Caenorhabditis elegans: one gene and its partner. The protein of the gene in region 1 interacts with the protein of each later gene in a pairwise test. Each region holds a gene or a part of one and is shown in the gene's direction. Other genes may lie near its edges. The genes, in order: acdh-5 and asd-2.

The links.
Region 2: the proteins of acdh-5 (region 1) and asd-2 interact in a two-hybrid assay, tested with the Caenorhabditis elegans proteins (one large-scale study listed by BioGRID).

The regions. Positions count from the first base shown.
Region 1 is NC_003279.8:6,783,120-6,787,825, forward strand, and holds acdh-5 (medium-chain acyl-CoA dehydrogenase), read left to right. Parts: upstream 1-1,748; 5' UTR 1,749-1,788; coding exon 1,789-1,807; intron 1,808-1,981; coding exon 1,982-2,299; intron 2,300-2,630; coding exon 2,631-2,765; intron 2,766-2,812; coding exon 2,813-3,165; intron 3,166-3,401; coding exon 3,402-3,755; intron 3,756-3,801; coding exon 3,802-3,951; 3' UTR 3,952-4,020; downstream 4,021-4,706. Other genes in the region: cye-1 (G1/S-specific cyclin-E), read left to right, coding at 49-222, 264-635, 696-761.
Region 2 is NC_003279.8:6,889,026-6,893,945, reverse strand, and holds the start of asd-2 (K Homology domain-containing protein), read left to right. Parts: upstream 1-1,802; 5' UTR 1,803-1,860; intron 1,861-2,423; exon of another isoform or gene 2,424-2,500; coding exon of another isoform or gene 2,501-2,533; intron 2,534-2,579; coding exon of another isoform or gene 2,580-2,842; intron 2,843-2,886; coding exon of another isoform or gene 2,887-3,197; intron 3,198-3,242; coding exon of another isoform or gene 3,243-3,388; intron 3,389-3,434; coding exon of another isoform or gene 3,435-3,561; intron 3,562-3,611; coding exon of another isoform or gene 3,612-3,850; intron 3,851-3,893; coding exon of another isoform or gene 3,894-3,985; intron 3,986-4,031; coding exon of another isoform or gene 4,032-4,692; exon of another isoform or gene 4,693-4,744; intron 4,745-4,920. Other genes in the region: C48B6.4 (Tyrosine-protein phosphatase domain-containing protein), read right to left, coding at 2,501-2,533, 2,580-2,842, 2,887-3,197, 3,243-3,388, 3,435-3,561, 3,612-3,850, 3,894-3,985, 4,032-4,692. UniProt on the Caenorhabditis elegans protein: RNA-binding protein that binds to the 5'-NACUAAY-N(1,20)-UAAY-3' consensus sequence in pre-mRNA introns to promote alternative splicing.

The DNA.
Region 1 (4,706 bases):
AATTTTTTCACAGTATAGATTCACATTAATTTTTGTTTTTTTTTTCAGGAAATTTATCCACCTAAGTGCATCGATTTTGCTCATCTCACCGATAGTGCATTCACCTGTGATAATATTCGAACTATGGAAGTTCTTATCGTCAAGTATATTGGGTGGAGTCTTGGGCCAATCACAAGTATTCAATGGCTCTCAACATATCTTCAATTACTCGGAACCGGCAAAGTAGGATTTTAAATTTTTTGTTGATTAAAATATTTTTTCAGAAGAACAAGTCTGATCACTACGAAGAGCAAAACATGTACGTGCCAGAATTACTCCGTTCAGAATATCTTGAAATGTGTAAAATTCTCGATTTTCTGCTATTTGAGATCGACTCATTTACTTTCTCCTATCGTACCATCGCTGCTGCTGTTCTTTTTGTCAACTATGAGCCAACTTGTGCTGTTGAGAAGGCTACCGGATTTATGCAGGCTCAACTTGAAAAAGTTATTGAATATGTTGAACCGGTGTGCCGGGCGTTCGCCAAACAACGACAACTTCTTGACGATGTTATTCCAAAACATGAATCAATAAAATCGGATGATTCACACAATATTCAAGTATACGTTAAAAGGAGTTCAATGGAACCTATTGTGGTAGGTGGATATATAAAATTCATGAATTAGAGGTTGTTTTCATAATTTTTATTTTTCCAGAAAAGCGAACGAGAGAGGATTCAGCATTTAAAAGCTCGCCGTCTTCATCCGCAACGACTTTTCTAAAATAACCCGCAATAGGATTCTTTTATCATCGAAATTTCTGTAGATTACTTACTTCAAATAATCATGCACACAGGTTGTCCCCGTTAATTCTTTCCTTCAATCTCTTTCTCTCTTTCACCTAGTCTGTGCCATTTCAATATGATTGCACCCCGGAAAATATCAAAAACTTCACTTAACAAGTGATCCCATATTACAAAAATATTCAAATTCCGAAAATCGAAAGATGCATTTCCGTTTTATTTTACCGAATTTTGATGTTTTTGTAATGTGTTTAAACCCCTTTTACAATTAACTTATTAATGTTTTGTTTTACTCATCTCACTTCCCCTTCTTACTTTGTGCTTATTTTATGTTTTAGGTTTTTTTATTGTATCATAAAACTGGAAATTTTGAAATAGGCTTCTTTCTCCCTAAACTTTTTTAACAGGTACTGTAACTGGTACATATCCTCTGCCCCACCCCGCTCCCAACTCGTCTTTGTCTGTTTGTTTATACGAAATACAATTTTTAACGAGTATGCGGGTTTCTGTTAGCTTCAACAATACGATCATTCAAATTTTAAAATTAAGAAACTATAAAAGCACAGTATTTACGTGAGTTGAAACAAAATGCCTTCTCCAAATTTCTTAACACTGAAAAATTTTCGGAAAAAAAGCAGAAATTACTCCGCAAAAAATTAAGGACATCATTCCAATATTTTTTTTTACTTATTTGATGAAAAATTAATATATTCCAATAAATTAAAATGAATTATCATCTCAGGAATACTGTAGAATTACTTTAAGATTTTGGCTTATTTATATTAAGTGGTACGGTAGGGGTACTGTAGGTGTATTGCAGAGTTGTAGACACTGTAAATGAAATTCCAAAGAGCATAAAATTTATCAAAAAAAAGTTTGCGTGAATTTCTAATTAATGTTTAATCTTCTTTTTTTGTTAAAATTTGTTCAGGGTTTCTTATCAAAAAATGAATCATTATTTAGTTTCTTGGCTAAAACACTACTCATCTTCGTAGTTTCTTGCCGTGATGTTTCAAGCTTTGTTAAGTAAGTTTGAGTGAATTTCTGGTTTTGGTGGAATTTATTCTGATATCGAAAGCTCTATGTCTATTCAATCAATTGATGAAAATGCGTAAATAGGGAACTATGCACACACGGCGGCTCAGACTGATGAAGCTTTTCTAGTTTTGGAGAATGAGGTCTAATTGAGCAAATTTTCAGCAAAACTCAAAAATAATGCGGCTTTGGGAGCAGCTGCAAATAACTTGAACAAGTTCAGAAGTTCGAATCTTGGTAATCAGAGACGTTCTGTCTCAGTTGCTGTGACATCAACATCTCCGAAATCGGAAAAGCCAGTAGCCAGGGAACATATGATTTATGATGAAACTCATTTTGTCATGCAGAAGAGTTTGGGAAAACTTATCGAAGAAAAAATCAATCCAAATGTGGCAAAATGGGAACAAGACGGGCGGTATCCAGCACATTTGGTATTCAAAATGCTTGGAGATCATGGTGTTTTTGGTGTTAATAAACCAGAAGGTAATACGCTTTTTTTAGCTAACTTGTTTTATTAATTAGTTATCCATGCAATATTATTATTTGATTGGACTTTTCAAAACGAAAAAGTGTTACCACAAAAAACCAAAAGCGTAGATTTCAGAACTTGGAAGAATAACTTCCAGGTTACAATTAGAATATCAGAACACCAACTTTTTGGGTTCTAAAAATGTCAAGAGCCTGTAAAACTACATCATTCTAAAATGTTAAAAAGATAGTACTGGTGGGAGGAAAACCTTAAAGATACAAAAAACTGCAAGAATAATAGAATTAATACGGTGTGTTATTTCTCATTTTTACCAACGATTTTTAGCATTTGGTGGAACTGGAACGGATATTGCAATGGCAACAGCAATTGCTGAGCAGATGGGAGCAATTAATTGTGGATCAATTCCAATGTCAGTTATGGTTCAGACTGATATGAGTACACCTGCACTTGCACAGTTTGGTGAGTATTTCCGTTTACCACCAAAATTAGAAATAATTGAATATTAGGTTCTGATGCTCTTCGCGAAAGATTCCTTCGTCCATCAATCACTGGAGATCTTGTCAGTTCATTGGCTGTATCTGAACCACATGCTGGATCCGATGTATCAGCTGTGCACACACACGCACGTCGTCAAGGATCTGACTTGATAATCAATGGTTCGAAAATGTGGATTACAAATGGTGGTCAGGCGGATTGGGCGTGTGTTCTTGTGAACACATCAAATACATCGAATGTTCATAAGAATAAATCGTTGGTTTGTGTTCCATTGGATGCTGTTGGAGTTCATAGATCAACTCCACTGGATAAGTTGGGAATGAGAAGTTCGGATACTGTTCAGTTATTTTTTGAAGATGTTCGCGTGAGTTTTGAGACACAAAAAACAATTATTTCGTTTTCAACAATGATAATTTCAAAATACCAACAAAAAAGTTCACCACGAGTTTTGAATATTAGTTTTTCGTTGATTATTTGTGCTTGAACATTCTTGCATCAATTCAGGACCTTTACCTAGTTGCGTGATTACAGTACACATATTTTCACTTTTTAAAAGCAATAGTAAGAAATTTATTTCAATTTTAAACTAAAATCCTGCAGGTCCCTTCATCTTACATAATTGGAGAAGAAGGTCGTGGATTTGGATATCAAATGAAACAATTCAATGATGAACGTCTTGTAACTGTTGCTGTTGGCCTTCTTCCACTTCAAAAATGTATTGATGAGACAATTGAATATGCAAGGGATCGATTGCTTTTCGGAAAGACTCTTCTTGATCAACAATACATTCAATTCCAATTGGCTGAGTTGGAAGCAGAGCTCGAGGCAACTCGTGCACTGTTGTATCGAACTGTTCTGGCACGAAGCCGTGGAGATGATGTGAGCATGTTGACTGCAATGGCAAAATTGAAGATTGGAAGATTGGCTAGAGCTATTACTGATCAGTGTTTGCAGGTAACAAATACAAAACTTTTCACAATTTCTAAATGATATTTTATAGGTGTGGGGAGGTGCAGGATATTTGAATGAAAATGGAATTTCGAGAGCTTTCCGAGATTTCCGTCTTTTCTCGATCGGAGCCGGTTGCGATGAGGTCATGATGAGAATCATTCATAAGGCTCAGTCACGTAGACAACTGAAGAAGGCATAGGATTGATTTATTCCGTAGCTATTCTATTTTCCTTTCTGTAGTATTCTCGCAATAAAATTTTTTATTGTGTGTTCAGTGATTTCAGAGATCTTATTAAAGTGAAAAAGCCATCAAGGTTGACGCATGCCTACGTTCTAACGTCTACCTCATACTTGCCTAGGTGCCTACCTCATGCCGTCTACGCCATACCTGCTTATATCTTTTCAAACCTACAGGAAGCTTAAAGCTCCCCCTGATGCCCTGACTATCTAAATCCTTGCCTTATGATGCCTGCCTACTTTTATGTGAAACAGTTTTTATTTATTTTTTAAGTATTTTGAGATGTGCGTACTGTTTGGTTGTGAAAATTGCAAATTGTAATTGGTGAATTTTTATCTTGAAGAATTGAATTGTATACGTTAATGATAGAACAACTATTGTACAAGATACTTAATCGCGTACTAAATATAACATAAGTGTAGAAACGAAAATTTATGTCAAGTACAAACAGGTATGCGTCTTTAAGGAGTACTGTAGCTTTAAAACTTTCGTTAACGAGGAATTTCCATCGATTTTTCATAGTTTTTGTCACGACTTGTTAAGTAAAATGTATGTTTCTTTTTTAATTGTTAAAATGTTAGTTTTTTAATGAGTACATATGTTTTTTTTCAACGAAAAGCTATGAAAAATCGGTGAAAATTTGTACTTTAAAAGTACTTTAAAAAGCGCAAACCCGTTTGTATTTGACAATAATTGTCGTGTCGAGACCAGGTACC
Region 2 (4,920 bases), 110 kb from region 1:
AATCCGACGAATAAATATCAAAAACATCTCGAGTTCCCATTCAAGTTAATCATTTTCACAAATTTAACTCAACTAGATGATCAACTCAACATCTCTCCAGATACCTGTCACTAGAAATTATATCGTTCTGTTTCCTTTCACCATTTTCTTGCCTTCCGCTTTCATTTTTTCCTCATAAAACGAATCATGGGAACCCCGAAAAGATAGTGTTGATTGAACGGAGACGGATGATGGAAAAAGAAGAAAATACGCGCGCACACATGTTGTCAGTGATGGCTTTCCAGTGATTTTCCAATTTTTATTCGCGTGTGTTCTATATTGAGCTGCTCATCGAATGGATAAGTGTTTATTCTCTAATTACATTCGGATTGTTTTCCATATTGAACATAGTTAGTTACCGAAGAGATTATCTTCTCATCAAGTCTTTGCAATTAATGATATTTTCTAGAAAGGTTTTTTGCGGCGTCCATTTTTTCAAATTCTTGACGGAAATCCGACATTTAGAGCCAATCAATTGAGACAAAGTCGGGGTCCTTTAGTGCTTCCCGATGGCCTCAAATAGCAACAACTGGTGCGGAAAAGTGGGCAAAGAAGAATAAGAGGTCACCTGGCATCGTTACAACTGATCCGCCTGTCATTCTGTCCGTCTAAATCTCTCTAATCCGTAATCTATCGTCATATAAGTTTTCCTGAGCTCATCATCATGTCTTTCACTCTTTCTCTTCGTCCACTTCTCACTCATTTAAGCTTATTCCTTCTTCCTTTGCTTCTCGTTCGAATACTAAAAGAAAGGGTGTATGAAGATGATGACTATAATTAAATCTGCACGCGGCATGTATTAATTCATATTTAGTGGTGGTAGAGGACTCATAGTTTTCTTCATTCCCTCTACCGTGCAGTGAGACATTACTTTTGGAAAAATTTATTGAACTTTACAATAAATTTGAAATATGTAAAGTTGACATATATTTATACCGATACGATAGGGAAGCCAGCTTTTACGAGCACTTTTCCAGAAAACTTGTGTTTTACATCGAAAATACATTTAGCATGAATCTTTTCGCTCAAAATATTTCTGAAAATCTGAAAATGCGAACCCTAATTAATATTTAATTCGATTCGCGGATTTGCCAAATTCTCTTGTTATTCCTCGAATTTCTGGAAAACCCACATCTCGTTTTCTTTCTCTAATATAATCTTAATTCAGATTGAGCAATTCTAAACTTTCAATTTTTCCAATAAATTTTCTTAATACTCTTTACCCTTCCAATACCCTATCCAAAATACTTTCGTGTCAATTTTTCCAAGAATTATTCATATTTTTGAGGTGCAACTCTCACCCCAGTAAGAGAAGATTTTCATTTTTACACGAGGTAGCTTATAAATATCGATGAACTTATTTTTCCAAACAATCTGAGCTTCTCAAATCGAAGCAACAAGTGATATCACATTCAAAATAATTTCTGTCAATGTGGACAATTTCAGTCAGTTATTTGAAAAATACTGAAATTTAAAAAACCTTGCCATTGGAAAATATTCATTCATTGAAAGTATGCTTTCAATATTCTTGCCTCTTATTTCTTTTAGTGCCGCATTCCAACGATGACCTTCTCATTGCAATACATTTGAAAAATGAAAGTGTATGCCGACTGCCTAGGTGTTACGTAACTTGCCATCCAGCCGATTCGGTTTCTTCTCATTTGTTTATTCGCAAATAAAACACCTTATGCTTCTTAGCTCACTTTATCTTTATAGATTTTTATTAATTCAAAAATGACTCCAGTTTTAAATGTTTAATTTCCAGCCGTATTCCTGTCTTCACGCCACCCAATCGATTCTTCAAGTGCTAGGAGCTGTCAGGTAAGCTGTTATTTCTTTTAAAAATTTGTATTTAACTGTAAATAAGTAGAAAACCATTAACTTGAGAAAAGTTCTTCCAATATCCTTTCACCAATTTTATTCTCGTGTCTCGGACAATTCTATTATTCCATCATGCAAGCAATGTACCGGAAAATTGGTGCATTCATAAGGTGCATTCATAAGGCCATCCTTCAATTTCCTTTTACAAATGTTACCTTTTATTGTTTTTATTTTCGGTCCTCTTCCCCTTTACCTACTTTGTTCGGAGCTTTATAATCCTACAGTAATCTCTTAAATCTGAACCAGTTCCCATTGAATTCTTCTTTCCTCTACTTTTTAACATCGATGAATGTGGGTAACCACGGGTGTTAATATCGGGCAATAACGAAATAGTGCAGACTTCACTGGAGAGACCGTCAGAGAAATACCGACAAAGTATGTAATTATGTTCTCCTCCTTTCACCATCACTTCGATGTATTTACTTGCAAGTTTGGAGTTTGTTCACATTTTCAATTCTCCCTCTTATTCTTTTTTAAGGTCAATGCTTTCAGTTCAAAAATAATAAAGCCATATCACTTTATTAAAATTCCATAAAAATCTAGAATACCGTATTCAATATTAACTCTTTGCGTTGTTTTCTTAGGGACCATGAATCAGAAGTTGAGGATTTGACTAAAAAGGATATGGTTATAAATTCAAATAAATGAATCATTCAAACCTGACGTGATACATGCTCATTGATTATTTCGATGTTTCTAACTTTCGAATCAGTAACCTGATTCTTGACGATTTCGTGGAAATGAGTTACATTAACAACATTTTGATACTCAGACTCTCCCATCTTGAAAATCAGAAGTTGCTGTTTCTTCAGGTTCATCGATAATTGAGTCTCAATTCCGAGTCGTTTAACAGTATAAATTCCGCATGATTTCTCACTTTCACTGCCGTAGGGAAAATAGGAAGCACAGTTTGCAGTTTCTTCTGAAATTTAATTTTTTTTTGAAATCTGAGGTTTAAAATTTTACCCGGGTCTAAATCAGATATAGTGTGAATTGTTGGAATTCCTTTATGTAGAATCATTTGCCAAAAGTCTTGTGTCTGTTCTGGATCTGGACTGTTGGCATAAATTTGAATGACATTATTCAGACGGTTTTGAGATTGAATTGGATATGAGCCGAGCGATTTCTGTAGATCAAATTCCTCGGTTTCCAGTTTAACGAGATTTTCAACTTCGTCAGCTCCGCCAATTTGTCTTGATTGGCATCCAGACAGTGAGATCTGAGATGATGAAGAGGTCAGGAAACCCAAATAGCAAGATTTTTCGTAGAGAGCCTTTCTATAAAGAATGTTCGATTTTCATTTCACGGTATCGAAATCAAACCTAGCGTTGGCCGCCTGAATAGGTTGTGTCACGAAATCTGGAACACTGGATCCTTTCTTTTCAATGAGATATGAATTACGCTCCACAAGTCTATCCCGGAGAGGACTGAACTGCATTGGACCATGAAAAAGCCAGTGTTGAGTTGGCTTTAAAAATATAAGATTTATTATTTATTTTTTGATAAAAGCTTACCATATCATTCAAAAGATCTTTTCGAAGATTCTCAAACTCTTCATCTTCTTTTGTATAATCTTTTGATGGATATTCTTGAATATCTCGTTGACAGTGCCAAACAACATACCAACCATAATTTTCTGGTCTAAAAGTTAAAATCAAATCAGTATTAGTAATCTGAACACATTAACTTACACTAGTTTGCATCTTACTGCAAACTTTTGAATTTTGCAATGTCGATATGGATATTCTGGATCTGTCAATCGTCGTACAATTATCTGTCCACATTTGAGAATCTCTTGTTTATCGTCAGGAATATATTGCTTACAGTTGGCCCCTCGTTTCTCCAAAAACTTTCCAAACATTGTAATCAAGCTGATGCGATCTTTATGGCACTGAGTCCAAAAATCTTGTGTTCGAGTTGCGTCAGGGCCCTGAAAGAGTTATAGTGCATTTATTAATTATAATTTCACTTACCAGACATTCGAATTCCAACCCATGACCATTGATTGAAGACTCTACCATGTCAAACTCGTAGCTATTCAGAACTTGCTGACAGCAGGTTTTTTCTGAAATAAAATAACGATACTTGCGATGAAATAAACTGAAACTCACTATCTCTTTCATAATCCTCCTTTGTTGGAATCAATAAATTGGGCTCCGAGTCTTTGTGATTTTCATATTTTTCAAGAAGAGCATTCATATCATACTTTGGCCATCCATTTTCATCATCACTCAAATCAGTTAATAAATCATCAGCTTTACATTCAAGTTCATCAATTTCCTTCAAAATCTCTTCTTTTGGTTTTGATTTACCATAATTCCCAGGAATTCTTCCATGTTCGAGTTCGAAAAGTTCCTTTGGTGTAAGCATGGTTTTACGCTGTTTCAAAAATTCTCGATAGTTTTCCGAGCATACAAGTTCCCTTATATTGGAATGAGTTACATCAATTCCCTGATTGGCAAGATATAACAATGGATCAAATATCGACTCAACACTATCATCACTGGATTGTATATCAAGATGTTCATCGTCAACGCCACTTCCGGTAACATCCACCTCACTTCCAGAAGACACACGTGAGACTTCGGAGACATCACGAGAGATTCTTGAATCGGGAATCGATTCTTCGCATGTTTCTGGAATGACCGGCACTTCCAATATGAAATCTTGAGACTTTGCAACAACGGCGGGACCAGATTCAATATCGACTTTTGTATAATATCGATCCGCTGGTGGCGAGATTTTCGCCTTTTTTGATGATTTTGCACCCATTTTGTGCAAGTTGGAAGACTTCAAAACTCGTAGAAGTTTAAAATGATTGTCTTCGCAAGATTTTATAATCGTGGTTTATTGATCTTCCCTTGTGTACGTTGAAATCAATAATTATGTTTTCAAATGTTTTCACGTCAAAAATGGATTCGTTTTCAAGAATGTTCATATTTTCTGAATATTATCATTCAGTCTTTCTTCAAATGATTTTTAAAAAATAACATTTTTTAA